3 linked regions of the Schizosaccharomyces pombe genome follow. Changing the gene in region 1 together with any one later gene gives a genetic interaction. Each region holds a gene or a part of one and is shown in the gene's direction. Other genes may lie near its edges. The genes, in order: spp2, rad26 and spb70.

Region 1 (10,284 bases):
TCGGAATACATAGGGTTATGACCTCTTTATTATAATACTTTGACAAACTATATTCGCTAAATCTTTCTTCCTTTATTCAAGCTTTGAGTAAAAGTAATGCGAGTTTCTGCTACTTTTCAAGGATAACACTTTAAATTTTAGATTGGCTCGGAAAATATTTCGCTCAAACCACACTTCTTTCACTGGTAAGGTCTCAACGTTTATATAAGTTTGTTGCCAATTGTAAATAAGAGTTTAGACAATGCTACAAGTATAAAACAATGCATAAGCCCTGATGAGGAACTCAAGCGAGTATCGACTCAACGGCAATAAAGATTATTTTAAGAACTAACTAGTTTTATCACCAAATACATCAAACAAAGAATGGACTTGGTGATTAGCGTAGAAACAGATCTACGGCTAAAATTCCAAAACTATAACGGTACTAATATTTCTTGGATGTACATTGTGTAACGATAGTAATTAGTAGCGGCAACAGAAAAATCTGACTACTATCCCATAAACGTTCAAATAAAAGCAAAAATAGAGCTTTCCTCTGTTCTAAACTGAACTGGTATTTTTTAAACAAACATGATAGATTAACGAGTATGTTAGCACTTCACACTAGGCGATCTATTCAAATTTAGTCATATTATCGTATTCGGTAAACCACTAATTTCTTTGCACAAAAAGTGATGCTTATTCAAGTCAAACCTAAGAAAGATATGAACAACTAACTATATATATATGCATGTGCTAACATTTTTTTTTGCAAAATCAAGAATTAAGTACCTCTTGTTTAGTGGCTTATATAAAACTGCGAGGTAGCTCGCTATTCGTGTAATAAAATTTTACTACGACAAGGGGGAAGTTTTCAACTGCACAACATGGCACCTCCTCAAGGAAAGCCCGAAAATGTGCTAAGGGTATGTATTATGAGTTTTTTACTTACTTTGACTAACATAAATTAGCTTGCCGATGAGCTGATAGCTCTAGATCAGCACAGCTCAGCACTGCAATCTCTTCATGAGACTATAGTTTTGAAAAGATCAAGAAACGCGCAGGGGTTTTCTCTCGAGCCTATTATGATGCGTTTCATCGAACTTTGTGTTCATTTACGCAAAGGAAAAATTGCAAAGGAAGGCTTGTACACCTACAAGAACGCAGTTCAAAACACCTCAGTTACCGCTATTGAGAATGTAGTCAAGCATTTTATTGAACTTGCTAATAAAAGAGTTCAAGAAGCTCAGGAGAAGGCAGACAAGATATCAGTTGAATATGTTGACGATCTTGAGGCTACTGAAACTCCCGAGAGCATCATGATGTCTTTGGTTTCGGGAGACCTTTCCAAGAGCCGCACAGACCGTGCTTTGGTCACTCCATGGTTGAAATTTTTGTGGGATGCTTATCGTACAGTTCTTGATATTTTGCGTAATAATGCTCGTTTAGAAGTAATGTATCAGTTAATTGCTAACTCTGCATTCCAATTTTGCCTCAAGTATCAGCGTAAAACCGAATTTCGCCGTCTATGTGAACTCCTTCGGTCCCATCTTGGCAATGCTTCTAAATTTTCAAACGCTCCACACTCTATTAACTTGAATGATGCTGAAACTATGCAGCGTCATCTGGACATGCGTTTCTCTCAGCTAAACGTTGCTGTTGAGCTTGAACTCTGGCAGGAAGCTTTCCGATCCATTGAAGACATTCACAGCTTGCTTACGTTCTCTAAGAGGGCTCCTGCTGCAGTCATGCTTGGCAATTATTACCGTAAATTGATTAAAATCTTTTTGGTTTGTGATAATTATTTGCTTCATGCTGCAGCTTGGAATAGGTACTTCACATTTACAAATGTGCAAAAACCCGCTACTGCTAATTTTGTAATTTTAAGCGCTCTCTCTATCCCTATTATTGATGCCAACAAATTATCGGGCCCTTCCATTGAGGCAGAAGATGCCAAGAGCAAGAATGCTCGTTTGGCTCTTTTGTTAAACTTATCGAAAACACCTACGCGTGAAACATTAATTAAGGATGCCATTTCTCGTGGCGTTCTTTCTTTCTGTGATCAGGCTATCCGTGATTTGTACCAGATTTTGGAAGTTGAGTTTCATCCATTGAGCATTTGCAAAAAACTTCAGCCTATCATCAAAAGATTGGCAGAAAGTAATGATACTGCTCAATACATTCGTCCTTTACAACAGGTTATTCTTACTCGTCTTTTCCAACAACTGTCTCAAGTTTATGATTCCATTTCATTGAAATATGTTATGGACCTTGCTACATTCGAGGAGCCTTACGATTTTAACCCTGGTCAAATTGAGAAATTCATTATGAATGGTAACAAGAAAGGTGCATTTTCTATTCGTTTGAACCATATTGAAAATTCCATTAGCTTTTCTTCTGACTTGTTTTCTAATCCCATTAAGTCTTCGGATTCTGTTTCTCTTCAATCTACTCCATCTGAATTAATTACATCTCAACTTACGCGGATTGCCAAATCCCTTTCTAGTGTTTTGATGCGTTTTGATACCGATTTCTGCCTTTTACGCAAGCAACAAGCCGAGGCTGCCTACGAAAGGGCTCAGGCTGGTGTTGAACAGGAGCGTAAAGCGGTCATTGCTCAGCGTAGTCTTCTCGAATTACGTCGTGGACAGGCTGATACACTTGCTACTCAACGTGAAGCTGAGCTTGCTGCTCAACGCGCTCTCAAACAAAAGCAAGAATCTGAAGCCGAGTCTCTCCGCGTTCAAGAAGAAATTAATAAACGTAATGCTGAAAGGATTCGTCGTGAGAAGGAAGCTATTCGCATTAACGAAGCTAAAAAGTTGGCCGAGGAGCTCAAAGCTAAGGGTGGATTGGAAGTCAATGCCGAAGACTTGGAGCATTTGGATGCTGATAAATTGAGAGCTATGCAAATCGAACAAGTCGAAAAGCAAAATAAGAGTATGAACGAACGTTTGCGTGTTATTGGAAAGCGTATCGACCATTTGGAACGTGCTTATCGTCGTGAAGCTATCCCATTGTGGGAAGAAGACGCAAAACAACAAGCCGAACATGACCGCGAAATCTTTTACGAGAGGGAGAAACAACGCAAGGAAGTACAAGAGCGTAAGCATGAACAAGCCATTAAAGACAAAAAGGCTTTTGCTCAATTTGCTTCCTATATTCATGCCTATAAGCAAAATATTGACGATGAACGTGATAAAGCATATCAGGAGGCATACGCCAAAGCTAAAAATGTCATTGATGCAGAGCGCGAAAGGCAACGTAAAGAAATTTTCGAACAAAAATTGGCTGAGGCTATTCGCGAAGCTGAAGAGGAGGCTGCTCGTGCTGCTGAGGAAGAGGCAAACCGTGAGCTTCATGAGCAAGAAGAAGCTCAAAAACGTGCTATCGAGGAAAGAACTCGTGCAGCTAGAGAAGCTAAAGAACGCGAACAGCGCGAAATGGCTGAGAAATTGGAACGCCAAAGACGTATTCAGCAAGAGCGTGATGAAGAAATATCTCGTAAGCTTGCCGAGAAAGCAGCTGCTAGAAGAGCAAATATTGGCGCATCTTCACCTAGTCCTGGTGCTTGGAGGCGCGGCGGTGCTAGTGCTGGCGGTGTTTCACGAGACTCTCCAAGGTATTCTCGTGGTGGCTACTCTCGTGGTTCTGTTCCTCCTCGTGAGACCCTTGCTCCTTCTAAGGGAGCATATGTTCCACCAAGCAGACGTAATCAACAACAACAGTAGTAAACCTACTGTCTATAAGAAAATAAACCTGTCGACAATTAATTATTGTCGCAATTGGATATTGGAGTCAAGTCTTTACGATGCATTATCTAATGTCACAGCTGATAAATTTAAATGAACTAATGTGTTCTCCTATTGAAAGTTGTAAGTTCCTTTTTCTTACAAGGGTAGTTGGTTACTTTCATGCTATTGGAATTCATGAAAGCGGTTATGTGTATAAAAAGAGCCTTTTGTAGCTCTATTTAATAGATAATTATCGTTAACCTTTGAACTTTTTTTAATTTGTATAATACTGCTTAAAGCTTGACTTGTTAATTGTAAATGTAGAACGATACTAATCGAATAAAGATGTTACATGTCAAGTTTATAAGCGACGATGAGTTTTTACAGTTGACGTTTCTGTAGTATGCATTTCTCATTTCAATAATTCTGAATACAACGAGTGAAGAAATAATTCATTAATTATTAGCAACGTGTTTTGTATTAGTACCAAAAAGGTTAAGCAGCTTAAAATATTTGTTTAAAGACACTCAAAGTAAAAAGGTTTCTTGGTGAGAGGCACGACAATTTGTTACCGCAAATAGACTCTTCGCTAACCACCATGTTCAGAACGACCAAAAGTCGAGTAGTTGAAAAGAATCAAAATTTTTCTAGTGCTAGTTTTGAGAGTTTAAGTTATCCTACGCGACTTAATTTTTATAAGAAACCTCCTGTCTCTGAAATAAGCATTGAAGAGTTTGAAACATGGGCAATAGACCGATTAGTTGGTATGCTTTCCATTTTCTTTATTATTTTCTATTCTTTTGGAGTAAGCTAACTATTTAGTTTTGGGTGAAATTGAGTCAGCAATGCTCCGCAATAAGACGAAAAATGAATTGAACGGGATTATAAAAAAGATACTGGATAAACGTCTGCCGATGAGTAGCAACATGGCTAGGACTGTAAAAGGAAACTCCTTAGATGAAGAAAGAAGGAAAGATCATTATTCTCATTTCATTCTGCGCCTGGCTTTCAGCAGATCGTAAGTAAAAATGTGCTATATTTGAGTGCTGTCTGTCGAAAAATATCTCATTTAGACTTATAAATGCGTTCGCGTTATGGCATAAGTAGTAAATTGAACATAAAGTGGGTATCAATTTGCTGCTTCAGTTAAACAGAAAGCATTATATATATGAATACATTTAAACTTGCTTTTATTCTTTTCCTAACGCATTCATTAGTGATGAATTACGAATCAGGTTTTTAAGAGCTGAATCCACGTTATTTCGGTTTCGATTTGTGAATGAGGAAACCCGAGAACGTCAAGCGTTTATAGATAGTCTTGATTTTCAATGGGAATCTGTTTCACAAGAAGAAAAAGACGTTTTTTATGAAAAGCTACAGGCTTCTTCTCAAAGAAATATAGAAAACGAATCTTTCTTCAAAGTACCTTTTTTTAAAGTTCCGGATTTAGTAGAACGAAGGGCTGTTTTCGTTCACAAGGGATACGCTTACGTACCATTTTCGGAACAAGTAAGTCTAGTTGTTGAAGAGTTTGAAGAAAACTTAAAAAAAGCGCTTGAGTCTACCGCAAAATCTCTTCCTAGGCTTGATGAAGACGATCGTCTTTTGCCAATTCTCAACCATTTGAGTAAAGGATTCGTTGCTCCCGAGAGTTCAATAGTTGCTCCTAAATCTGGTGCTATTACTGCTGGACAAGTAGACAGTTTTGTTTCACATTTTCCATTATGCGCCAAACATTTACATGAAGTACTTAAGCGTGATAAGCATCTACGGCATTTTGGCCGTCTTCAATATGGGCTATTTTTAAAAGTATGAAACTTATTTTTTATGTAGTAATTTACTAATTTTTCAGGATATTGGCCTTTCTGTCGACGAAGCTTTGGTCTTTTGGAGGAAAAGTTTTACAAATGTAACAGAAGACAAATTTAACAAAGAATATCGCTACAATATTAGACATACTTATGGACTTGAAGGAAATAGGAAAAATTACAAGGGTTATAATTGCCAGCAGATCCTTACAGGGCCTCAACTTGGTCCTGGAGATGCCCACGGTTGTCCTTATCGTACATATTCAGTAAATAATCTAGTGTCAGCATTGGCTTCCATGGGAATAGCACCGGATTCTGCCGGATGCCGTGAAGTTGTTGAGGCAGTTAAAGCGAGGCATTATCATATTGCGTGTACGCGTGTTTTTGAGCTTACTCATCCAAATGTCGGTTCGCTGGAGGAGAGCATTCACCATCCCTTACAATATTTTCAACTTAGTTTAGAATCATAAGCTAAGATACTTTTAGTTCACGATTATCATAACACATTTCAATTTTTGTACAATAGGTATTGAACACTTTCAAAATACATTTCATAGCTATAATTCAAAAATCTAATTACCGGCAGGCTGGTTATATAGATGAATAAGCATTGTTACTAATAAAAGGCAATAATACCAAATCAACGTAAAAAACATGATATTTAATTTAAAAAACGTAATTGAAAACTTTTTAAATTTATCATCAAAATGAAATTGTCTAGCAATCTTCCGAACACTCAGTTCCGTAGAATAAATACGTTAACTTCAAACTACAAGTCTATTAACATATGAAAACGTTTGTATTTAATCTGAAGAGATGCAAGTAACAATCAAGATGTTCTTACAAACGTATATGGTTTTTTGAGACTAGCAGGATGTACTTCTGGGAATCTAATCATCATCATCAAATGGGTATTCAAAATCTTCAGGAGGAGAGGCCTCCTGTTCACCAGGCTCTGTATCTGCACTAGCAGGTACAGCGTCTCTATTCAGTTCAATTAAATCTGGAGCTTTATCAGACTCACGATCGATAAGCATAAGAACACCACCGGTAAATTTGCGAACCGGATAATAACGGCCATTAAGGTTAAATGAAATATATGGAAGCTGAGCAGGAACAACCCGCGTGAAGTTCTCTAAAGTTTCAGACTTAGGTTCTTCTTTTTTAGAGTTGCCGTTGATGCTTATATCCTGACTTTTTTCTTCATCCATTTCCATCGGAGTGGCCTCTTTCTCTTCAGTTGTCTTTTTGTCGATTTTCATTTCGTCATCATTTGAACCTTTACTGGCTTTTTCACGTTCAGCACGCTTGGCACGTGCTTGAGCTTTGACTGTAGTAGAGAGCACGGCAGTTTCAACTTTTTGGACCGTTTTAGCAGTGGGTTGTACGGACTTTGGAGGATAGGCAAACAGTTTAGGACGAACATTTGAAATAAAAGAAAATTTGGGTGCATTCAAGTTTTTATCCAGACCTATCAGCGCAGTAGGTGAGAAGGAAAGAGACATAAAATGCGTGAGTGGAAACCAGTACCAATATTGAAGAAAAACAGTTAATCCAACAATTGCAGACAATTTCAAACTACCAGTAGCTGTCTGAAGAGCAATAGTAACGTTACGACCGCCGGCATCAATAATACCTTGAGCCAATGTTGCGCCCAATTTAGCAAGCGCGTCTTCATGTTTTTCGTTGATGACTTGTTCAAAATGTTTTCGAATTCCAGAAACCTTACTATTCAATTGATCGTTGTGTTGAGTGAGAATCATTGCTTGAGCAATCATGGCACCTTGGCGAACAAAATCCGTTGCATCTTCAACAAGGCGGCTCAATAAATCTAGTGCAGCATTGGACCCCGAGTTTGCACAGGCAATTCCTAAAGCGATTGCACTACCATATCTAACATGAGGGTTATAACTATCAACGAGCAGCTCAACCGTTGAAATCAGAGCGTTAGGATCCTTGAAACAGATAAAACCTAAAGCACAAACTGCAGCACGACGAACATCATCATTGACATCACTAACTGAGATATGAAGTACGTCTCTAACTATTTTGCTATTGCTTGTACCACAATAAGCCAAAGCGGTAGCGAACATGCCTGCATAACGGAGAGTAGGGTCCAAATCATTATTCAGTTCTTTAATTATACCGTCAGCTTCTTGCTGACGTCCATAAACAATTAATGCAATACCGATGCCCAAACCTCGAATAATCTTCTCATGCTGCGTCTCATGTGCATACTGCAACATTTCATCAATGGCGGCAGAAGAAGCTGTACCAAGCATTATGAGACCCATGGATATACCAGCGGCAGACCCAGCCACGGCATTATCGTTAAAAAGGATAGTCTTAACAGATTCATAAAGGGTTTCGTCCCTACTAGCCATGCCCGTTAGGCCAATTCCAAGTAAGAGACCATACTGAACAATCTCATCTTCGGTATGTTTCAGTTGTTCGCGCAGATACTCAGTAACACCTCTTCCATGATTAGCATGAATCAACCCCATGGCATAGAAAGCACCACCTTCAGAATAAGTAGAGCTTGATGGCGCATCTTCTTCCGGCAGATAAGGACGAAGAATGTTCATAGCTTGATTATAATATCCTCGATGGATGACACCCAATGCAGCTGTTGCAGTAAATTTTGACCAGTTGTTGGCCTTGGATAACCAGGAAAGGTTGTCGCGGAAGAAACTATCCGAGGAAGTACCGAAGTTCATGAACGCATTGGCGAACGTAACTGCATTATGAAAAACCGAGTTCCTGGCTTCTAAAGAATCTTTCGTCCTGTTCAGAATAAGCATATCCGTATTGTTATGTGCATATAAAAATTCACGGTCATATTTAACGGTTTGTTCACCAGACAAAATTCGAATAATATAACCACAAGGAGAAGAATCCTCCTTTTTCGAATCAGCGTTAGCGTCCTCTTCGGAATTGGCCACAGAGGGAGAAGGAAGCAAATCCATCACACTATTTAAAAACTCTTGTGGAGCCGAATCTTCAAGATCAAAGGCTAATTGATACGCTGTCAATAAGCTTTTGTCATCGTTTTGAGAAGATAGTTTCATTAAAAGTTTGGCTGCAACAGAGGCATCGTTCAAATGAACAACGCATTTTCCAACTGAGAAATAATCAGGTTCTGTTTCTGTCAGAAAAGAACTTAGTAATAGACGAAGTAAGCGGTTTCGGAATTCAATGTCTAAAACAACAGTCATTGCAAGTTCCAGTACATAAGGCTTTAAATCTGTCTCTTTGTCTGCATTTAAAATGTATTCAATAATGTCAAGTCGATGAGCCTCGATAGCAATTCCCAAAACATGTCTCCATTCGTTTTTAGCATAACATTTTTGAAAAATGCCCTCGACTACGCCACTTAGTCTCTCGTCCAAGGGGTCAGCCTTTGGATTTTTGTACAACTCTGCACTTTTATGAATAAACATATCAATACATTTGAAAATTAGTGTTTCTTTGTAATCACTATTTTTGTCATGCAAAAACTTTGGACCACTTGACAAGGCAAACAAAAGAGCCTCATCATATTCTCCAAGGTAATAATAAACTTTTGAGACTACCAAGGCTGCTAATTCGCGTTCAGGAAATGAATGGTCCTCATACATAACCTCAATTTTCGTAACATCATCCGATATTTCCGGCCATAATTGATCAATAAACTCATAAATTTTTAGTAAAGCATGTACTTGTAATTCTCGCTCTTGCTCGTCCAGCAGGGCCATCAAACCACCTATCAAAAGGATTAGTGAACATGATTTCTACATTTTTTCATTGTTTAACGCTCGACGTACCTGCTGACGTTATAATAGAGGTGTTATCAGAGTACACCATAGTCATTTCGACGAAACTAGACCTGTTTATTTAAATCTTACAAACTATATAACAGCAGGTGGTGTTTCGTTGTTGGTAAATACCCTGAACCGTTGTGCTTCATTCCACCAACACATTCGGTAAGGGTAGGGCACTTGTACCAATAAATGTTTCAGGTATATTAAATGTAATGCTATATCATGTTATCCACACCACACCACCTAAATAATATTCAGTATTATCGAAAAAAGTCAAATTGTATGTTTCATCAACTATGTAAGATATCTCAACCCAATGAGGGATTTATATGAGTATCGTATCAAAATGAACGAACTAAGTAAAGCTATTCTGATCGTTCTATAATATGATTCTCATTGCCTTCTTATCATTCGCTTTTAGTATCGATAAATTTATAGTCTTTAGCTTAACAAAGTAGCTAATTTTTGTCGAATTTTTTTTTTAAAGCATTATAGTTGTTTGACTTCACAGTTATACTTTCATTAGTATTTTTTGATAGTATATATTACGCTGGGATCATTCGTTTAACTTGCAGTACGTATCAATGCCTAGTACAATATTACTTTACAAATACAATGTAATATAACAATTATCATGGTTCAGTAGCTTTGCAAATGAACTGTTTGATCAAGAAAATTTAATGTATTTCATAATTTTTCTCGAAGTCAATTCTATCAGTAATGAAATAACTAAGCCACATGGATGCGTCCAGAAATGATATCGAGGCCTTCCCATGCCACAATGTTTTTGGCTTTATTAAAACCACTGTTTTTTATTGCTGGCATGTTAATTGAATGGACATTTTTCGATGTCGTCAAACTGGAAGCAAACAGAAGCTAAAGTAACCCGAAATGTATTTTGTTAAAACATAACTATCTTAACTCTAAATAGATATAAAAAATTCTGTGTTTCACGCATACAAT
Region 2 (11,061 bases), on another chromosome or scaffold:
AATATCCTGGTCCTTAGTCTTCTCTAAGCAACGAAGACCAGTTTCGACGCCAACAGCAGTGTGTGGGTCGATGATATAATGATCACTTTCATAGATTTTTTTAATAGCATCAATGGTTTCATCATTACTAACACGTTCACTCACGAAATCACGTCTAGCGGCTTCCAAAACCTCGGGACGGACAGTAACTGTTCCATCACGTTTGAATTCATTCATCCAGCGAGACAAAATTTCCGAGGCCTCAGCAGGAGTATGATTAGGAGCCTCAGTGGCTAATGCAAGATACCATAAGTAACGCTCGAAGTTAGAAGAAACCAAAATGTCCATTGCAGGAGAGTAAGTTTCTTTGGCGGAAATAGGTCCACTGGGCGAAACTTGAGTAGAATCAGCTTTTTCATAACGACCAGTCTTGAAGAAACGATTCAAAATATCATTCTCGTTAGTAGCAATAACAAGTTGTTTAGTAGGTAAGCCCATACGCTTGGCGTAGTAACCAGCGAGAATATCACCAAAATTACCGGTGGGAACGATGAAACGAACATCGTCAGCCTTTCCTTGCTTGTAAACGGAAAGATAAGAATATAAGTAATAGGTAATTTGAGAGAGAATACGAGCCCAGTTAATAGAATTAACGGCACCAATATGATGCTTCTTATTAAACTCAACATCGCCAAAAATTTGTTTAACAAGATCTTGACAATCGTCAAAGACGCCGTTCACAGTGATACAGTGAACGTTAGGATCTGTGACTGTAGTCATCTGAGCTTCTTGGATAGGGGAAACACGTCCATTGGGAAATAAGATAAAAACTGAAACGTCCTTCTTGCCACGTAAGCCATAGATAGCTGCACTACCAGTGTCACCACTAGTGGCACCAACCACGGTCAGATGATCACGTTCGTCTTCAGGTTTGTTTCCGTTCTTACGAGTAAGGAAAAATTCAAAGAGGTTACCAAGAAATTGCAAAGCAACATCTTTGAACGCAAAAGTAGGACCATGGAAGAGCTCAAGTACATTGAGACCGTTCTTTAATGATTTTAGAGGAGTAGTCTCTGGGTGGCGGAAGGTAGAGTAAGAGCGATCAACCAATTTTTTCAATTCATCAGCTGAAATTTCAGAGCGAGGAATGTACAAAGACATTACCTCAAAGGCAATTTCAGGGAAGGATTTGTCCTTCCAAGCCTCAATCCATCCGCTAGGTAGCTGAGGGATTTCTGATGGAATAAACAATCCTCCATCATTAGCCAAACCCTTAAGCTATACAGTAATGGCAATTAGTAAACCGAGTTATAAGTAAGACGCATTTGTGACATACCACAGCCTCTTCAAAAGAAAAATTTGAAGATCCACCACGAGTCGATAAATAACTAACTTGGCTAGACATTTCGCTATTTCCCAAAACAGAACGTTGCTTGTTCTTGGTAAATAAAATCCGCCATTTTTCAGAGAACCTTGCAATCTTTCGTGTTATCAACAGTTTACAAAATTGAGTGTACCAACGTAAATATTTTAAAGATAGTATCGTTAATTTTCACTATAGTAGCTCTTTGAGTTGGTTTTTTTCGAATTTATTATTTTCTGAACCCGTGGCTATTGCTCACTACACTACTCCATTTTACGGTATGCTTCGCTACATTTTTTGTTCTTAAGTTTTATATTTGTCACCCAAAACGGAAATGTATTCGTAATTTTTAATATATCCTAAAATGAAAATATTATAAATTGAATCAAATTTCCTGCGTTTCATATTTCAATTATCAGCTATCAGCTGGTAATTGTACATTAAGTCCAACCTGACTATCGATATATATATAATTGCATATCGTTAAATTGTCATGAAAAGAAAATAGTAAAATCCCAAGTTGAGACTTACCGCAAAGTAACACATCGTTATCTTGGTTAGCAATTGCGTAGTTAACAAAAACGTAAACAAACAAGAGTATGAGTATGCCAAATTACTCTACATTGCTGAAATCGTTTTAATCTTGGCAATAATCTGGTACATCGACTTTCATATAGTAATACGTTGTTTAAAAAGATTAAGATGCTGAAGTGGTAATCTTGGAAAGGCTTCTGTTGTGGTCTCGTTGCAAGATAAAAATAAAATAAAATCTACAATGTAACAAGGTAAGTAGTCATCTTACGTTTAAATGAAGATGAAGATAAGGCAATTAAAATATGTAAAAGATAGGCGTTAAAAGACGTTTCGATTGATGACAACCTAATCAAATCGGTATAACATGATGAAAAATGTAAACTTGGTTCAGTGGCCCAAACATTTAAAACAATAGGCAGCAGCCGTAAAAAATAAATGAGGTAGATCAACAGGACGAATTAGATGGTGCTTGATTGCTCGTTGCAAATTGATAAAAGGATTCGCGAGAAACATTGGAAAATGGCCCCAAGAAAAAGCAAAGGCATTACTTTTTGAAATGTTAAGGAAATTGCAATGAAAAAAGAGACGTTGAAAAAAAAAACATGGGAATTGATTATATTCCAAAATGTAAACTCGATCTAATCACAACAACTCGAAAGCATATCAAAAGTTGATTGAAGCTATTAGGCATAAATTTTACGTTATGAAAGCATTAAAAAGTAAGAGAAAGTGTACAATATAGAGAAATATTATAAACTTCCCAACCGGGTAGAGTTGAAAAGAGTAAGGAAACAAAGTAGCAATCCGGAAACGATAACCAACACAAGATATAAAAAGCAATGCCAATCTCCACTCCTTCAAGCTCTCCACACACTTCACGACTATATACGTATCGGCGGTGCTAATATCAAAAACTAGCGAAAAAGAAAATGTGACAAGATAATAATAAGGAGCCTAACAACACCTCTTCACCGTACGATCGTTTCCGAGGTCAACGTTATTTGCCTGGTTGGAAAATTCGTTTTCTGCATCAATCTTTTGTTTTTTTATTTCCCGGGCAAGGGTAAAAAATGCCTCATCTACATTGACGTTCGTCTTCGCACTAGCTTCTAAAAATTTAACGCCCAGCTCATCGGCTAACGCTTGTCCCTGTTCAAAGGAGACCTGACGCTGATCCTCACAATCACATTTATTTCCAATAAGGATTTTATAAACATTTTCACTAGCATGTTGTTCAACGTTACTAAACCAAGTTCGGACGTTATCAAATGATTTTTTATCAGTTACATCGTATAACAATAAAATACCCATTGCACCACGATAATAAGCAGTGGTAATGGTACGGAAACGTTCCTGGCCAGCAGTGTCCCAAATTTGGAGTTTGATACGTTTTCCATCTAGTTCAATCGTGCGAATCTTGAAATCAATTCCAATCGTTGTGATAAAAGAAGGGGTAAACGAGTCTTCCGAAAATCTCAGAAGAAGACATGATTTTCCCACACCTGAATCTCCTATGAGAAGTAATTTGATTAAATAATCGTAGGATTTTGTAGACATGGAGGAGTGTTGCTTTTGCCAGGTGGTAAGTGGTAGAATCTACTGGAGTCCCTTGAGATAATGCCGCAAAAATACACTTAAATTTATTAATTCAAGTAATGTTATTGTATAAATGGTACTAGTTTTATTTAAGTCTTTGTTTGTGTTTTTTTATGTTGAAAAAACATGACTTTCAACTTTTTTATGTACGTTTCCTAAGGGCAATAAACTCGAAGTTTTGATAAAGGAAGTCACTATTCTAGGGCACATACATACACTCTTGAGAAAGTAACAAAGATATTCACAAGAGAAATAATTCAGATTTCATGTCAGAGAAAAATCTCTGTCACTAAACAATTTACTAGCCATGGATTAATTTATACGATTTGAATGACTGGTAATATGACTAATATAGTACTGCATTGATCAATTTAATCAATGTTTATATGACTGTCATTGACCTAAACATACTTATAATTAACGCTTTAAGTGTTTTGGTTTAGATTTTTCCTTTTTATTTTTGATAATATAGTAAATGGATGGGGGAGAAACAATGAACTTAACGTTAATTCATATGATCATCATTTTAGGCTTTGTCATTGTTGTTCGAGTTGAAACAATAAACCGTTTAAACCAGCATAAACTATAAAATGTTCTACGATTAGGAGTTGGACTGTCTGAAAATAAATAACTTTTAAATTTTTCGAGGTTATGAGTATTCAATAGAGATTGAAATTAATAATTTCTACAATAAAACAAAATAACAAATTATTTCATTTTATCCATTGATATATTTGGTTAGACTACAATTCGATCTTACTTTTTTAATAATATTTTCATTTTTTTAATTCTTTTATGTTTATTAATTCGAATAAATGATGGAAGCCATTTGTCATAACACCTTAATTTAAGTATAAAAAATATTTTTCTCATGTTTTATTTTTAAAAGCATTCAAACATCATACACTTATTTTATTTATTTTTTATTATTGACAATTCAAATACTTGATTTTTGGCTAATAGTGATTTACAGTACTTGAGGTCTTATTGTCGATTACGTAACTCGTAAAACTTCAAGTTGGCTATTCGATTGCTAACCAAAATGCACTAATACGCCAAGTTCAACAAGTAAATTAAAGATCACAAGAAATACTCATAGCAGTTAAACGTATCGTTAAAGCATCTTATATAGCTGCGCATTTTGGAAAAGACTATCTTATTTATCATATCTGTTGGTGCTCTGCAAAATCAATTCATATTGCTACAAGGGTTCAATTATTCATACAGGAAGTTACGCGATTAAGCAGCCTTAGTGACTGCAGTCATATTCTGCTATTAGTGTTTCGTTTGTATGTGGTATTCATACTAGAAAGAGATATGGTTTTTCGGCCTTATCTTCTCTGCATAATATTGCTTACTAACTGTTAAGGTTTTCCAATTGCTGAATTACGATAATTACAGTTACCAAGGTTGCTGAAAGTATTTGAAACAATTTACGATTTATTATGAATTCAATTCTTTTTTACAGAATAAGAAAAACATTGGGCCCATATTACAATTTGGAATCACTTCAAACAACTATTGTTACGCATAAACGAGAGTGAAAGCTACAAACAAAATGATGGCTGATGAAAGTTTTGACTTGGAGAGTTTGGGTTCGGATGAAATATTTGAAGGCGTGAATTTAGATGAATTAGAGCAACAAGCTCAAACCCAGGTTCAAGCTCAAAGTTCTCAAGTAGTTGTACCGAGTGAAAAGCAAAAGCAAAATTTAAATCTTCCAAATTCATACACCAATTCTTCTCAAAAAGTCCGGGAATCTACCGTAAACTCACAAGCCTCATTATCCTCTAATGACCTTCGAACAGAACTTTTAATTAAGTCGGGAGAAAATGCAATTCTTCGTGCTAACCTTCTAAAACAATCCGAAGCTAATAATGCCGCCCTAGAATCGTTAAATAATTCTATAAAGCAAAAGCAAGATGAATACCAACGGAAATTAGAGGAGCTTAAAAAAGAAATTGAATACGCAAAAACGAAATCCCTATTTCATGAGCGTGAAGCACAGGATGCTATCGAAACTATGAAAAAAATGAAAAGAGATGTAAAGAATTCTCCGATTATGAAAAAATCCCATGAAGAAGATGGTGACAATAAATTGTTATCTTCTTCTGATCAGCTTGCTAAGAGCACAAAGCATGCTGCAAAAAACAGCCCTTCTAAAAAGAAGCGCAAAACAAGTGTTGCTACTGCTGAAGATGCTTCAACGGATAGTGTGAGTTCTAGTATTGCTATATCAGATGCAAGTTTGTCTTTGAGCCTGATGAAAGATTTACTTTCTCTACAAAAAAGAGAAGATTTGTATTTTGTAAGTATTTTTAAACTGTCGTGTTAAATTTTATTCCCTTTTCTTACTTTTCTAGTCTTCTAGAACTTTAGCATACGTATTTGGTGGTTGTATGCATTCATTAGAAACAATTGAAGGAGAGGAGGAAGGTGAATGTTTGTTTAATAACTTGAAAGCTCTAATATACAGTCCCGATCTATCTATGGATTCCTCCAATTATGTACAATCTGTCGTTCAAACATCATCGTCGATTTTAAATTATTCAATGAAAAAATTATTATATAATGCCTCCTTTGCTATAACATCTTTGTTTAATGCATTATTAATTTTGGACCCTAAATCATCCACCTTTATCTTTCAGGAAAATGTCGTTTCTTTAATAAGTGGTTTTCTTCTTAAGGAATACGAAAAAAGCAATTTTTTGGACTCAAAGTTTTACGTTTTAATAGATTTTCTTTATTTATACTTATCTATAGCACGTGAAAGTGCTGATGACTTTGCAAACATTACTAAAGCGGTTGATCCGTCGTTATTCGAATCCTGCATTCGAGTGCAAAATGCTCCTTCTTTGATTAAATGTGGTGTTTGTTTAATTATTAGTTCCACCACTCCTTCGTTTTGCGCTTCAGTTAACTTGTTAAATGCCGATGATAAATCCCAAGAATCACTCATGCAACTTTTCACAACTATGGCCCATATTTTAGTTGTTACTACTAGGGAAAGGATTAATTTTCCTGAATTGGTACGTTTACGAATTGTGCTTATAATCTTTGCATTGCTTATTTCTAACAAATTAGAATGAATGGATAACGCTTCATCGCTTTGTCATATCCTTTTTTACCGTGTTTATACAAATGTCTGGAAACATTGGTAAAGAGATTTTAAAAGTATGCAATCCCTTAATAGTATGCATCGGACTAGCCATCACTTGGTATCATCAGCAACTCCTTTCGTCAATGTACCCTCAAAATGAATGCGTAGAGATTTTAGTATCTCTTGTTCGGCTTCTGTACATTTTATCTTCCGAAGATTTATCATCAAAATTTATGTTAGCTGAAAATGCGTTACAACCTCGTTTCGTTTATGCAATAGCATGCTGCGCATTCGGCGATACTGAACAAAAAGCGTTTGGCAATTTGGGTGAGGAAATGTATTTTCTCACTACAGAATTGTTGGAAGTTTGCGTCTCTCCCGAAGAGCTGGAGCAGTTGTACACTAATTTTTAGATAATGAAACAGATGAATCTATTTCCCTAATTTTTCAAATGAAATAATGATACTTGTTTCTTCAGTGTTGTTCTTTCCCGTCCCGCACCCACATCCTCGCAAATTAAATACAAATCAATCTGTTTCCCCAAAGGAATGCGTACCACAAAAACATCCCCATTCCGTTCTTTTAGTAAAACTTACGGCTATATTTACCTGCAAATAAAATCATCTAGCAATTAACGAAAATGAATATATTAAAGTACCACTAACATAAAGAATCATCACTATGTAAATTCAATAAAATGCATTTGAAAGTTCAAATATCAAAACCGTTTTGATTCATAATAAAGAAAATCCGTCATAGAAGAGTTTCAAGAAAAACTGTAAACATTCATAACATAAAGAGAAAAATCCAATAATTCTCTTCACTAGAGTTTTTCTTCATTCTTTATCCATTGAATGCATATTTTTTTATTTTTTTTACAAAAAATATTTGCGTCTGATTTCCTTAAATGGGAGAATCCATTCCCAGGTTGATGTGAACAGCTTTTGTTTGAGTATAATTGGTAAGACCGTAAGAGCCCAATTCGCGACCGATGCCACTCTCCTTATAACCACCAAAGGGAATTTGGTGATGAAGTAAGTTATAACAATTCACCCAAACAGTACCGGCTTCAAGAGCATTGCTGACCTTGATGGCATTGGTAATATTGTTAGTGTGTACACCAGCAGCTAAACCATATGTACTGTTGTTACCGCGACGGATGGCCTCCTCGATGGTCTTGAATTTAATGACGGCAAGAACGGGTCCAAAAATTTCCTCCTTACCGACAGCCATGTCCTCGGTAACGTTGGAGAGAATAGTAGGTTCGACAAAGTAACCGAGATTACCATGACGCTTACCACCAATCTCTAATTTGGCACCATGAGCAATGCCACTCTCAATATAACTAACAATACGTTCATACTGTTGCTTACTAACTTGAGCACCTTGGAAGGTATCTTCGGCGAAAGGATCACCAACCTTCAAAGTCTTGGCCTTGGCAACCATGCGTTTAATGAACTCATCGTAAACATCCTCTTGCACGTAGACACGGCTACCTGCACAACAGACTTGACCAGAGTTGTAAAAGATACCATAGTTAGTCCAGACAGCAGCTGAGTCCAAATCGGCATCGTTGAAAACAATATTGGGAGACTTACCACCCAATTCAAGAGTGACCTTCTTCAGGTTGGAGGAGGCGGCAGCACGCATAACCATACGACCGACACCGGTAGAACCGGTAAAGGCCACCTTATCAATGTCCATGTGAGAACTAATAGCGTTACCACAACGGCGACCATCACCGCTGAGAACATTGATGACACCTGGAGGGAAGCCACATTCAGGAACAAACTTGGTAAGACACAGAGCGGAAAGAGGAGTGAGTTCGGCAGTCTTCAAAATAATAGTATTACCACAAGCGACGGCAGGAGCAATTTTCCAAGCGCACATCAAGAAAGGGAAATTCCAGGGGATGATTTGACCACATACACCAATGGGTTCGTGACGAGTATAGGCAAAACGCTTAATGTCGGTTTCAATGGTTTGACCATAATCCTTATCGGCCCAACCACCATAATAACGGAAACAATCGGCAGCAGCTTGAACGTCACCTCTAGCCAAAGTGATACTCTTACCATTGTCAAGAGTCTCAATAGAAGCGAGGTATTCCAAGTTTTGCTCGATACAGTCAGCGAGACGGGAGAGGCAACGTCCACGTTGAGCGCTGGAAAACTTGCGCCATGGAGCATCGGTCTGGAAAGCGGCACGAGCAACTTTCACGGCGATATCGACATCCTCTTCGTCGGCGTCAGCTACCTCACAAATAAGTTTCTCAGTAGAAGGAGAGTAAACCTTCACACGACCACCGTGAACGGAATCGACATGTTGGTTATTGATAAAGAGACCGACAGGTTGAATGTAAGTTTTTCCTGTAGGAACGGTAATTTCGACGTGATCAACGAGTTTTGTAGACATTTTGAAAAGTTTGTATTAAAAAATTGAGAAAAGGGGTCGTTGTCGTAAATGAGTAAGAGTAATTAAAAAATTAACTAGAAAAAAAAAAAAACCAAAGATAAAAAATGAAGTAGTGGGATAAATTTGGCAGAGCTGAATTGAAATGCAAACACAGGACAAAACCAAAAGATCAGTAATGAAATGGAAAATATGAGGTGTTAACGATTGTATAAAATAATTTTATATCAACCAAAGTAAACAACGTCGTCAAAAAGTTATGGGCGAAACCAAACTATAAGTAAAAGAGCACCTAATACGAAAAGATTAGATGGTCAGAAAAGGACCGGGGTAAATAAACAATGGCCTCTTATTATTCTTAAGAAGAGGGGGATGCAGTTTTTATAAAATGTGATAAAAACCGAAAGACGACAAAATCAATGAATTAAAACAATCAATTGTCGTTGTTAGTAATAATACCACAAAGGAAACCTATATCAATTTGGATGTAGGAAGTGAAGGAAAGACTATAGATAGAGGAATATACTAATAAGAGAATAGCAAGCGTGTTGTAGAAACGAAAAGACCGTGCTGTTCTACTTATTTCAGTGAACTGCAAAGGGGGGCGAATTCAATATTTATAGTAAAAATCATATATGACTTATACGATGATTAGTAAACAAAGCTCCAACTCCTACTGATTAATGGTGACACAAAAGACCGACACCTGGACGAATGATTTCCTATACATGATCTAATTCAAACAACGACGAATGACAAAACAGGACACCTTACCCCATGATGTCAATGCTTAATTTTGGCGAATCAAAGGAAGAGACACCCTCAAAAATCACAAGATTTCATATGTGCTAGCGTACGCAAAGCTTCCCTCCCAAATCTCACTGTGCAATAGTAATATGCTTTAGAGGGAATTGCATACTCGGAAATACAATTCACTATATCGAAAATTTGATATTAACAAACGAGGAACGATGAAAGACGAACGACGTTGAAACTCCGATGCCAGCCAACCTAGTCTAGTCTAGTAGCAAAAAGCAAAGCAACTTCTAGCGCCATCTGCATAGTGCGCTTTCGCTTCTTAAATTTTCTTCCTTCTCTTATTTCCCAAAGAATGCGATGCGCTGAGAAAATGGGAGCACCTTGGGCTAATCTAGTCAAAATGGGTCATTTTCGCAGGAAACCCCATGTTCTTTCGCTCTCCGAAAATCCCAAACTCGCTTTTCATTTGCTTTGCTCAACTTGTTGGTTTTGTTAGCTTCGACCCACTGGTAACTGTTAGTATTCTCTGCTTTATGGCGAATTCCCTTCTCACACGTTCCTGCCCCATCAACACGAGAAGTTCGGCCCTGGGCCCTTTGAATTTTCCCTACCAAAACATCTCTTATCATGGTACGTTACGTGCGGCATTTAACGTGGATAAATGAATGGAAAGCATAAACGTAGATAAGCCATTACGTTGAATAACCAAGCATAAACGTTGATACACAAACAAAAGTGGGATTTCATACATATGCATAACAAAAGAAACTTTAATCTTCTGATAGCGTTTGTTTAGTTTGGTTTGTTGACCCGCACGTCCACTACGGCCGCGAGGAGTTGGGCTCTTTTCGTACGACCTCAAAATAAGGTTTATTACGTCAATGTGCCGTAATTACTTTAATGCATGCGAAGCGAATCATGGCCAAGCGATGAGAGTAAAAAAATGGGAAACAGAGTTTATCGAGCGGTTGGTTAAACCATTATTCTGTATTTAGGAATTGGTAATAGTAGCAAACGCTTGTGTAAACAGATATACCCGAGACACTAAAATTCGCCACCTACGCTGACATCTTAGACATTAGCTACGCCAGTTTCCGCCCAGTACTTTGAAAGTCGCAAAGTGGGGGATTTCGATCCTTATGGGGGTAGGGTGAGCGTTAAGACTAGGAAAGGGTGGGATGGAGGGGACTGGTGAAGACTTGGACTGGGGTTCACGTGTGTGGGAGATTTTGGTCTATGTGGGGGATTGACTGGATTGGTAGTTGTAAAACAAAAACACAACGGTTGTAATGTAGTAGTAGTAGTAGCAGTATAATGT
Region 3 (11,012 bases), on another chromosome or scaffold:
CTAAGTTTGATGTTATTTCGAGATGCTGGGTAAAAAATTCAAAAAAAAAAGTGAATTTTATCAGCAAAAAAGAGTTGGTGGGACAGGCGACAAGTAAATAAGGAAAGTATAACTAGCGCAGTAGGCAAAACAGAAGATTGTATGAGATTTCCAAAAATGAATGGGTAAACAACAAACGTCGGTTAATCTTGTGCGAAAAGAGAAAACGGGGTTTTAATAAAGGAAAAAATAAAATAAATTTGACGGGATCAAAAAGATTCTCTAAATTTCAGGAGAAAGGAGGAAACAATTGGAACTTCAACAAATAATTAGGTTTAAATTGATAATAAATTAATTAGTTCAACAGTGAAGTAATCCAAATGCAATTGAAACCAAAATCGTTTTTTAATTTAATTAGCAAGATGAGGAATTTAATTGACAAGCAATAAAAAAAGAACGCGACTTGTAAGAAGCGAACACAAGCAAATAGGAAATATCAGTTAAGACGTTAGTCAAAAACTCCCTTTTTAATGGAACGAAAAATTTGACGGGAAGCGCTTCTTATATACAATCACGGATCAACATTTTCGGCGCGATGACGGAACGCTATCCCGGACCCCGACTGTGTAAAAATGGTACAGTCTAGAAGCATCTAGTTAAATATTAAAATAATAAAAAATATTTTAAGAAACATGTTTGAGTAAAAAAAACTTTATATATGCTGTACTAATGCTTCTTTTAAATTTTTTCAAAGCGACCATTTGCCGTGTATATCAGCACATTCAAGGTTTTCCACGCACTATCTCCTTTAGCTTTGACTAGGCGATAGCATTCGTCATATTGCGCTAGAAGGATACTCGCTCGACACGAGGTAGCTGATGTCATTTGAAAGTCATTAAACGATCGCCATTGGCGGGAACCAGTTGCGCGGAGCATGCGGGAAACCAAGGTGATTACGAAGGATGCTAAAGAGCGTAGGGATTAGGCATCGCTATTTAGTATAAAGTAAATTAATGGGTTTCACTAATACAGACAGTGATCTCGGTAGATTTGAACGTTACGTGTGTGTAAAAATGTAATATCGATCTTTGTGGTAAGCTCGCAATATTTTTTAGTGTATAGCATTCCTTGAAAATTAAGATGGATTAACTATACAAGCAGCAATTGCTTTTGAGGTATACAATCAAAAGGCCATCATCCTACCCATTTTATATGAAAGCAAATGAATAGACTGCTGACGGGGCAACACTTAAAGAGTAAAGAATAAATACAATACGTAGGGCTTGCCTATCAAGTATAGATGGTGTAATCCTTTTTTTCTTTTTCGCTTTTTGTTTTTTAGTACTTTTTCACACCTTTATTGAAACATATCTTTATTTTTTTTGATAATCATACTCTATATTTTGTTGCTTTATTTTTAGTGTCTTTTCTTCTAAGCTCTCTTTAGTAGATAAAATATCACCGATTAAAATGATTACAAAAAGTTGGGCTTTTCATTCTCTATATATACATCTGCTATATACGTATTGAGTTTGCTACCAATTCTTAATAGCCAGCCCTCTATTACCACGAAACATCTGATTCAGAAAGTCAAAATCACTTTCTTCCGTGATTAATTGTTTATCTTGCTGCTTCCGCTAAACTGTTACTTTGCAAACCTGACATTCCATAGTATCGGAAAGTTTCTAAAGCTTTTGTAAACAAGACGGTCGTTCAGCCCAGGCTTATTGCTGACGATGTTAGTTGTATTATTAAATAATTTCTTTGATGAAAAAAGAAAAACTCAAACACCATGGGAAACATTTAGTAGTGTATGAGAAGATTTGTTCTTTCACATAGCTTAATGTTCCAGTATATATTTATTGAGTTGAAAACGAAATAATTTTTAACTTAGATATTGTTTTTTTTTTTTAAATTATTGTTTGGCTTCTTATTTTTTTTATTGCATTTTATTTTATTTTGGGTTACTTTTTTTTTTTTTTAAGTTGAAAATTAAACAAATTAGCCAAAAAAAAAAGAAATCGAATATGCTGAATTGAGCTATAGGGTTGGATCCTATTAATTAGCAAAAATTCCTATAGTTTAAAAAAAAAAAAAAAAAAAAACAACGAAAAAAAAAGAGAAAAAAAGAGAAAAAATATAAAACATATTTCTACTTCACTTTGTACAATCCATATTGTCTAGTCAAGTAGTTGCAAGCCTGTTCTGTATAGCGAATGTCAACTACGCAGTTTATAATATTTAACGATACTTAGGATTGCAGTGAGTTTTCCTCGTGATCAATTATATTGCAATAAACAGGTATTTTAAGTAGCAGCTGGGTATATGTATTCTGTTATGTAGGTCTATTGTTAGTTATCACTAATGTAGCTTATAACCGAACTGAGGAACGAAGTTCAGTTGATTTCAGTTTATAGTATTTGAAAAAGTCTTTAATTGTAACTGATATTTATATTATCATAAAAGGTACTGTAGCTGTCTTTTTAACCTACCATGTAAAGTAGATAGAGCAAATAGAACATTACAACATGTGACATATAGTGATACTCGGACACATTGTAACATAGCTTAGTTTCAGCTGACAAAACAAAAAAAATACATACTACACTATTTATCAGTAAACTAATATTACATAGTAAAAGCATCTCGTTAAATGTTTAAGGAGGTTTAAAAAACACATTAAACCACATACTACTGCGTTTCTCCACAGTATCCACGGAGCGTCCCAGTATATCCGAGTTTTTATTAGAAGAGCGATTTAAGTAGTTGCTTTAAGAAGATACACTCTCCTATCCTAAAAAGGTTTACTCATAATTATTGGTGGGTACCTCTTTAAGTGGTTGAACTTTCTGCTATACGTCGTTTTTTCTATCTGTTGTTAGGTTGGAATCGCGTAAACAAATTAAAAAAAGCAACTTCGAAAATCTATCACTGGGCACTTTTGGACTGGGATTGCTAGTACGTGTACTTGTATTTTTTATTCTTATTTATTTCTTTTTCAGGACCCACATCACAGTACAAAATTAGTCACTTCAAATTAATTTGCTCGTAATATTCCCAGGTATTCATTTACTGTCTTTTTTTTTGGGTATCTTGTTTCATTTTCAACTTCATTCAATCTTCAAAAAAATGGAATTTCCTATCGATGATGAGGAATTGCTAGATGAGCGAAATAAACTTCTCCAAATTTGCAATATGGACGAGCAAACAATGTTCTACAAGTGGGAGTCCTGGTGTTTGCAACGAGGAAATACACCAAAACTCGACCTTGACACATTCAAGGCCTTTGCTAAAGACATGAAATTTCAAATGGAGAGGCAGGTAAAAGCCACACTTAAACAGAATCCTGAAAGAAAATCGATAAAGCAAATCCCGGGAATGAATATTGATAGCATGTGCGTACATTAGCAAATGGTTTTAACTAACAAATATCTAGACTAGGTCTACCAGTGAAGACCACCGCATCAGGCGACTCGTTGATGCAAGAGTCTAAACCATCTACCGAAACTTTCGAATTGAATTCCAGTGACGCTGGAAGGGTTTTGGAAGTTTTAAATAAAGAATTAAAAATTGTAACTTCAAAACCTTCAGCTCCATCCAAGCTGGTTATCGTAGCGAATTTTGATCTCAAGGCATTTAATTACAGGATCATGTATCAAAAGCTTTATGATTCTTCTGAAGTTCTGGATGATCGCATTGAGCTTTTTAGTGCATTAACTTGCAGAAAATACAACATAAGTGATGAAGATTTGGCAAATCCTAGCGAACTTACTCAAGAACCCGTTGTAGTTGTAGGACGAATTGTTGTCGAAAGTACCAATTTAGGTGGAAGACTCAACCAAAATAGCATTTTACTTGAAAGTTCAAGACGTCTAGGCGCTGGTGTTCGAGTTCGTTTGAAGGTGGATGATCTACCAAGTTACTCAATATTTCCTGGTCAAATTGTTTCAGTTAAAGGATCCAATCCTAGCGGTAACATGTTTATCGCCAAGGAAATCCTTCCTATACCTCCTTTGCCGTTCCCAAGTTCATCTAAACAGGAGCACGCTACCTTTGTTGCTAATACAAATAATCAGCCAATTTCTATATATATTGCATCTGGACCTTGGTCTCTCCGTGATGATCTCTCTTTTTCCCCTTTAAAATCAATGATTTCATATGTAAATAAAAATCCTGTTGACTTGGTTATTCTATGTGGTCCATTCTTGGATATTAATCATATACTAATACGTACCGGAAACATTACAGGAACGTCTGCGACTTCTTTGGAAGAGTTGTTTAAAGAGCGTGTCACACCCATATTAAGCCAGCTAACTTGTCCTTGTATTTTAATTCCTCACATCAATGATGCTGCTTCAGATCATCCTGCATGGCCACAGGATGCATTTAATCGGGTGGCCTTAGGTCTTCCATCTGTATGTTAAGTTGTATAATAATTTTTATTGACCAATCCATAGAACTTCAAATGCTTCCCGAATCCTTGCATGTTTTCCATTAATGATGTCGTCTTTGGTGTGTCAACCAACGATATACTCCTTCACACATCTAGAGAAGAGTTATTTCGTCTACCTTCTCATGGTAACTTATTTGCACGTTTGGTTTCTCACGTACTTCACCAAAGGCATTTTTATCCCTTATTCCCTGGAGGTTCTCTTGAAAAGTGCAACCCTTCAAACTTAGATATCGCACATCTTAAACTTGGTGAATTCCTAAATACTATGCCGGACATACTAATTTTACCAAGTGATTTACGTTATTTCGTAAAGGTATGTTAATTTTCTACTTTGTTTTAACTAATGTTATAGAACGTTGAAAACGTTGTATCATTGAATCCTGGTAAAGCGACCAAAGGGATTAATTTGGGCACTTTTGCAAAATTAACTATCGCGCCATTAGAGCTCGGGGATAATGGTTCTTCTAATCATTATTCACATCGTGTATGGCTTCGAACCAAGGCAGAAATTTTAAAACTATGATAATTATACTCTCTTTTTCTGCGGAATTTATTGAAAATATAAAAAATTCAGCGTTAAATATCATTGGTTATCATTATTTATGTAGATGTCTACCATAGACCGTTAGAATTAATTAACTTTTCAGCTTTCATTTTCTATCTATCGCTATTTTGGTTTTCTTCAAATTTTGTTTGCAAAATTACTCATATGTTTATGTTGTTAATTTAACCATTTTCCTCAAATGTCTAAGACAATCTCTGATATATCTCAAATCGCTACTCGCGAACTTTTAGTCGTTGTTTTATAGTTGAATGAGTATTCCTTTTATACTGTAGTATTTGAATGTTCAACATTTTTTCGATTTGGACTCTAGTCTTGGTGTTTCACATCTCAACCTACTTAGTCACTACAGTTGACCTCCAACATACATAGGGGAAGTAGTGCAAATGCCTGTTATTCCTCCAGAAAAGCTTGTGTCCTTACAAAAAAATCAGGAAAATATTCGTAATTTTACATTACTTGCTCATGTAGATCATGGAAAGGTATGAATTTTGCAATTTTAAACTTTTTTGAATAGTTGCTAATGATTAATTAAAGACAACCCTTGCAGACAGTTTACTAGCTTCGAATGGAATCATATCTAGCAAACTTGCTGGTACTGTTCGTTTTCTTGATTTTCGCGAAGATGAAATTACGAGAGGTATTACTATGAAGTCTAGCGCCATTTCATTGTTTTTTAAAGTTATAAGCCAAAATGATGAAAAAAGAGTTGAAAAAGATTACCTGATTAATCTTATCGATTCTCCTGGTCATGTTGATTTCAGTTCTGAAGTATCTTCGGCCTCAAGGCTTTGCGATGGTGCATTTGTTTTAGTAGACGCAGTTGAGGGTGTTTGTAGTCAAACAATTACTGTCCTTAGACAAGCATGGATAGACCGTATAAAGGTGATTTTAGTCATTAACAAAATGGATCGTTTGATTACTGAACTGAAACTGTCTCCTATTGAAGCTCATTATCATTTGCTTCGACTTGTTGAACAAGTAAATGCTGTCATTGGCACCTTTTATACTGGTGAGCTTATGCAATTAGCTGATAACGACGAAGTCATCAGTGATGAAGGTATATATTTCGCACCTGAACAGGGAAACGTTGTGTTTGCTAGTGCATACGATGGCTGGGCATTTTGTTTGGACCAATTTTCAGAATTTTACGAAAAAAAGCTTGGATTAAAACAAAAAGCACTTACAAAATGTCTCTGGGGTGATTATTATCTAGACCCTAAAACTAAAAGAGTTCTTCAGCCCAAACATCTTCAAGGCCGACGGTTAAAACCAATGTTTGTACAATTTGTTCTCGAAAACCTCTGGGCTGTTTATGAATCAGCTGTGAGCAATAGGAACCTTGAAAACATTGAGAAAATCATTAAGGCATTAAACATTAAAGTTCTTCCCCGTGACATCAAATCCAAAGACCCTAGAAATTTGCTACTTGCGATTTTTCAACAGTGGTTGCCACTATCAACTGCAATTTTGTTAACAGCGATTAGGGAAATTCCTTCTCCTATTAACGCCCAAGCGAATCGAGCTAGGAAAGTTTTGAGTTCAACTCCTCATTACGAAATGATAGATCCAGATATTACACTGGCTATGGAAAGTTGTGACGCTAGTAAGGAACAGCCTGTTTTGGTATACATAAGTAAAATGGTAGCTTTTTCTGAAAGAGATCTTCCTAATCATCGTCGCAAACAACTTAGTGCTGAGGAGATGAAATTGATACGTTCAAAATTATCTGAATCAATTGAGAGCGGCATAAATACCATTTCTATTGAGGAAAACGTTTCTTCTACCAACTCTGACAATTTAGAAGGTAGCACAACTGACATGGACGATGATAAGGACATTTTAATTGGCTTTGCTAGGATATACAGTGGCACAATTTCAGTTGGACAGGAAGTATATGTTTATGGTCCAAAATATGATCCAGTCAATCCTGAAAAACATATTACCAAGGTAACGGTTGAGTCATTATATTTAATGATGGGACAGGAGCTAGTTTATTTAGAGACAGTTCCCGCTGGTAACGTTTTCGCAATCGGTGGCCTTGCCGGAACGGTTTTGAGAACAGCAACACTATGCTCATCTCCAAATGGTCCTAATTTAGTGGGCGTAACTCAGCAAATGGAGCCCATTGTGCGGGTCGCTTTAGAGCCTGTTCGTCCATTTGAGATGAACAAGTTAGTGACTGGCCTTGACATGCTTAATCAAGCCGATCCATGTGTTCAAATAGCCGTTGAAGAAAATGGAGAGCATGTAATTATGTGTGCCGGAGAGATTCATTTGGAAAGATGTTTAAAAGACCTTAGGGAACGGTTTGCAAAAATTGAAATACAAGCATCTCAGCCACTTGTGCCATATCGGGAAACTACCATAGCTACACCCGACTTATTAGCAAAAAATAAAGAACTGAGTATTGGCTTTGTCACTGCAACGTTACCAGTTGGCGGAGTTACGATTGGAATTACAGTAACACCTCTTTCTGGGTCTGTCGTAGATTTTCTGCTGAAGCACTCTAAAACAATTGAAAATGTTAGCAGCAATTTTTCAAAGAAAAATAGAAACGTTGTTGTCTCGGAATCTTTAACAAAAAGTATGGAGGAAGTGTTGACTCCTGAGAAGTTTTATGAAAGGCTTTCCAAGCTTTTAGAGGAAGAGAACTCTGACTTAGGCGAGCTGAAAAATCATTTGGATAGGTAGGTTATACTAGTGTTCTATTGGTTGATTACTAACAATACTAGTATCATTGCGTTTGGCCCCAAACGAGTGGGTCCTAATATACTTTTTGACAAAACCAAGAAGATGAGAGATTTTCGACGACAAAGCGATGAAACAAAATTAATACCCTCAGACCTTTCTGAATATGTAGTTACTGCATTTCAACTAATAACGCACCAGGGACCATTGTGTGCTGAACCCGTTCAAGGCATTTGTGTGTCAATCGATCAGTTTGACATATCTGATGACTCGGAAGATAGTAAGTTACTTACCATCAATAATCCCCAAATCCCCGGTCAAGTTATTTCGGTAGTGAAAGAGTCTATTAGACATGGATTTTTAGGTTGGTCACCGAGACTTATGCTAGCCATGTATTCTTGCGATGTTCAGGCCACATCTGAAGTCTTGGGTAGGGTATATGGTGTTGTTTCGAAGCGACGAGGACGAGTAATTGATGAAGAAATGAAGGAAGGGACTCCATTTTTTATTGTAAAAGCCTTGATTCCAGTTGTTGAATCCTTTGGATTCGCTGTAGAAATTTTGAAAAGGACATCTGGTGCTGCCTATCCTCAATTAATCTTCCATGGTTTTGAGATGCTAGACGAGAATCCCTTTTGGGTTCCAACTACTGAGGAGGAATTGGAAGATTTAGGCGAGTTAGCCGATCGCGAAAATATTGCTAAGCGCTATATGCTGAACGTTCGAAAAAGGAAAGGCTTATTGGTAGAGCAAAAGATTGTTGAAAAGGCAGAGAAGCAGAGGACACTGAAGCATTAAAGATAGTACTTGATTCCAATTTCTTTAGGAAAACGAAAAGATTGTAATTTGATGACAATGACCTGGTTAGATGGAGGTAATGTTTTTTTTTTTTTTTTTGTTACATTGTTGAGGTAGCTGTGATTTTGAGTTAAGTGTTTCATGAACTATGGGACTAAGATTAGAAGTCTATAAGATGAATAGTGTAAAACGCACATGCAAGATTCTTTAGGCTTCTTTTTGTTATGTTTTAAATTGTTAATACAAATTCAAATTTCCAAAAAATACCGATGTTGTGGGATATGCATAATACAAATAATGATATACTCTACTGCGTAATCGCTAGAAGGTGATAGATTACAGACGCGACGCGCCAAAACACAAACACATCTTTGTACTAATTCAAATTCTAGTATTTTGAAAACTATTCGCCTTAATGTTTTTTGACGGATGGAAAATGCAAAAGATTTTATAGGAGAAACAATAAAGGAGAATGGATTACTTACCATTGAAGATGATGGTAGCAGTAGTTCAGATGAAGAAGCTACTTTAAAACGACGATTGGCAGGCCCTTCTGTTCTCAAGTCAGGACAGGAAAATGTTAATCAAAAAAAGATTAACGAGATAATTTACGAAGCTTCCAAAGGAAGTAAGTTTTTTGAAGCCGAACAAAAACGAGACCGAGAACTTCGTTTAAGAATAGAAAAGGTTCAAGTTGAGGTAGAAAAATACCAATCAAAATTAAGGTTTGATAAAGCGTTTCAAAGAGAGTGGACCATTAGACAAGAAAGTGTGGATACTACTGTTGAGGATTTTAGGGCTAAACGAGATTTGACCCAAATAATTGTTCATGTTGATTGTGATGCGTTTTATGCATCAATAGAGGAACTTAAGAATCCAAAACTTAAGTCTTTACCAATGGCAGTCGGGAAGAGTGTTTTGTGTAAGTATTCGAATCTGACTGAAACTAATGCTGAATAAGGTACTGCTAATTATGTGGCCAGAAAGTTTGGAGTTCGATCAGCGATGCCAGAATTTATTGCTAGAAAGATTTGTCCTGATCTAGTTGTAATTCCGTTAAATCTTTCTGAATATGCAATAAAATCTAAAGAAATTCAGAATGTGCTTGCTCAGTATGATTCGAATTTGTGTCCTGCAAGCATTGATGAATTTTATATGAACTTGACTTCACATTTACGTCTCCAAGAGCTTGCATTTACTGTAGAAAACATAACGATGGTGGTTGAGAAAATCAGGAAACAAGTGCATGAAGAAACAGGAGTTACAGTCAGTTGTGGTATTGCAGCAAACAAGTTGTTAGCCAAAATTGCAAGCAATAAGAGAAAACCAAATAATCAGTTTTTTATCCCATTTGACGAGATTGGGATTTCAAAATTCATGAATGACTTGCCTGTTAGAGAGGTAAGCAGTCTTTCTATATCTGGTTAAGCATTCTTTAACATTACAGGTTTCTGGTATTGGTAGAGTTTTAGAGCAGCAATTACTTGGTTTGGAAATTAAGACGTGTGGGGATATTCAAAGAAATTTGGTGATTTTATCTTATATCTTTTTACCTAAAAGTTTCCAAAACTTGTTGAGATGTAGCTATGGATTTGGAACTACAATTTTAGACGAATACGGTGAGAGCAAACGAAAAACAATTGGGTCTGAAGCTACATTTTCCAGCAATCTTAGTTCTCCGTCAATAATCGAGTACAAGCTCAGACTTCTTGTACAAAATGTATCTGAAAATTTACAAAAGCGCGGATTAGTCACAAACTCGATCGCTATAAAGTATAAAACAAGCGAATTTCAAGTTCATACCAAGCAAAAGAGCATAGGTCAATTCATTCATTCAGAATCTGATTTATTGAAACCAGCTTTGCAATTGTTGCGTCAATCTTACCCTATGACTATTCGTTTATTAGGAGTCAGAGCAACAAAGCTGGTTAGTAAATCGCGTTGTTTGGCCATGCAACTTGTAAGTCAAGCAAATATACTGCTAGCAATATGCTAATTATTACTAGAAATTCCAAAGCCAGAATACCGTTCCTTGTCCCGTTTGCCAGAAAAATATTGAAAACGAATTAGGTATACTGAACCAACATGTCGACCTTTGCTTAAATGTCGAAACAGTTAAATCCTTGATCAATACCGATCATACTGCAAATCCTACAATCAAAAAAAGAAAATCAAACACATTAGACACATATTTCTTGGAATAAAATTTATTAATCTTGACCTTAAAGCAACATTAAATAAGTTTTGGATTGCGAATCATTGCGCAACTAGCTTATGGTAAAAGTATTTGACAGTTTGTATAGACCAAGTAAAACTTTTAGAGAAAGAATGTCAAAGACAACTATTTTTAGATAAAGTAACCATGCTATTTTACAAAATAACATTGCGGTACTGAAAAATATTACATAAATGTCAACGTCAATTGTAAAGTCATCGTCAAACTCAAAGATTGTAAGGATAGGCCGATTTAAAGACTTTTAGCAGCGATTCCGCACATGATTGCGACGCCAGCAGCGTATGCGCCAAATT

The links.
Region 2: mutations in spp2 (region 1) and rad26 are lethal when combined (synthetic lethality), as found in Schizosaccharomyces pombe (one study listed by BioGRID).
Region 3: mutations in spp2 (region 1) and spb70 impair growth when combined (synthetic growth defect), as found in Schizosaccharomyces pombe (one study listed by BioGRID).

Annotation. Positions count from the first base shown.
Region 1 is NC_003423.3:3,313,472-3,323,755, forward strand, and holds spp2 (DNA primase large subunit Spp2), read left to right. Parts: upstream 1-4,301; 5' UTR 4,302-4,311; coding exon 4,312-4,477; exon of another isoform or gene 4,478-4,535; coding exon 4,536-4,731; exon of another isoform or gene 4,732-4,930; coding exon 4,931-5,522; exon of another isoform or gene 5,523-5,565; coding exon 5,566-5,991; 3' UTR 5,992-6,158; downstream 6,159-10,284. Other genes in the region: tif301 (translation initiation factor eIF3a), read left to right, coding at 867-905, 951-3,710; proteasome regulatory subunit Rpn2, read right to left, coding at 6,412-9,263, 9,325-9,370. UniProt on the Schizosaccharomyces pombe protein: Regulatory subunit of the DNA primase complex and component of the DNA polymerase alpha complex (also known as the alpha DNA polymerase-primase complex - primosome/replisome) which play an essential role in the initiation of DNA synthesis.
Region 2 is NC_003424.3:4,446,085-4,457,145, forward strand, and holds rad26 (ATR checkpoint kinase regulatory subunit Rad26), read left to right. Parts: upstream 1-4,520; 5' UTR 4,521-4,761; intron 4,762-4,841; 5' UTR 4,842-5,030; coding exon 5,031-5,780; exon of another isoform or gene 5,781-5,835; coding exon 5,836-6,501; intron 6,502-6,556; coding exon 6,557-6,985; 3' UTR 6,986-7,285; downstream 7,286-11,061. Other genes in the region: SPOM_SPAC9E9.06C (threonine synthase), read right to left, coding at 1-1,257, 1,316-1,384; GTPase Ypt2, read right to left, coding at 2,831-3,433; atd1 (aldehyde dehydrogenase), read right to left, coding at 7,476-8,987.
Region 3 is NC_003421.2:284,532-295,543, forward strand, and holds spb70 (DNA polymerase alpha B-subunit), read left to right. Parts: upstream 1-2,697; 5' UTR 2,698-3,108; coding exon 3,109-3,374; exon of another isoform or gene 3,375-3,415; coding exon 3,416-4,394; exon of another isoform or gene 4,395-4,436; coding exon 4,437-4,745; exon of another isoform or gene 4,746-4,784; coding exon 4,785-4,955; 3' UTR 4,956-5,173; downstream 5,174-11,012. Other genes in the region: GTPase Ria1, read left to right, coding at 5,381-5,476, 5,532-7,684, 7,730-8,483; kpa1 (DinB-like DNA repair polymerase kappa), read left to right, coding at 8,913-9,405, 9,445-9,884, 9,931-10,443, 10,490-10,687; oligosaccharyltransferase delta subunit Swp1, read right to left, coding at 10,951-11,012. UniProt on the Schizosaccharomyces pombe protein: Accessory subunit of the DNA polymerase alpha complex (also known as the alpha DNA polymerase-primase complex) which plays an essential role in the initiation of DNA synthesis.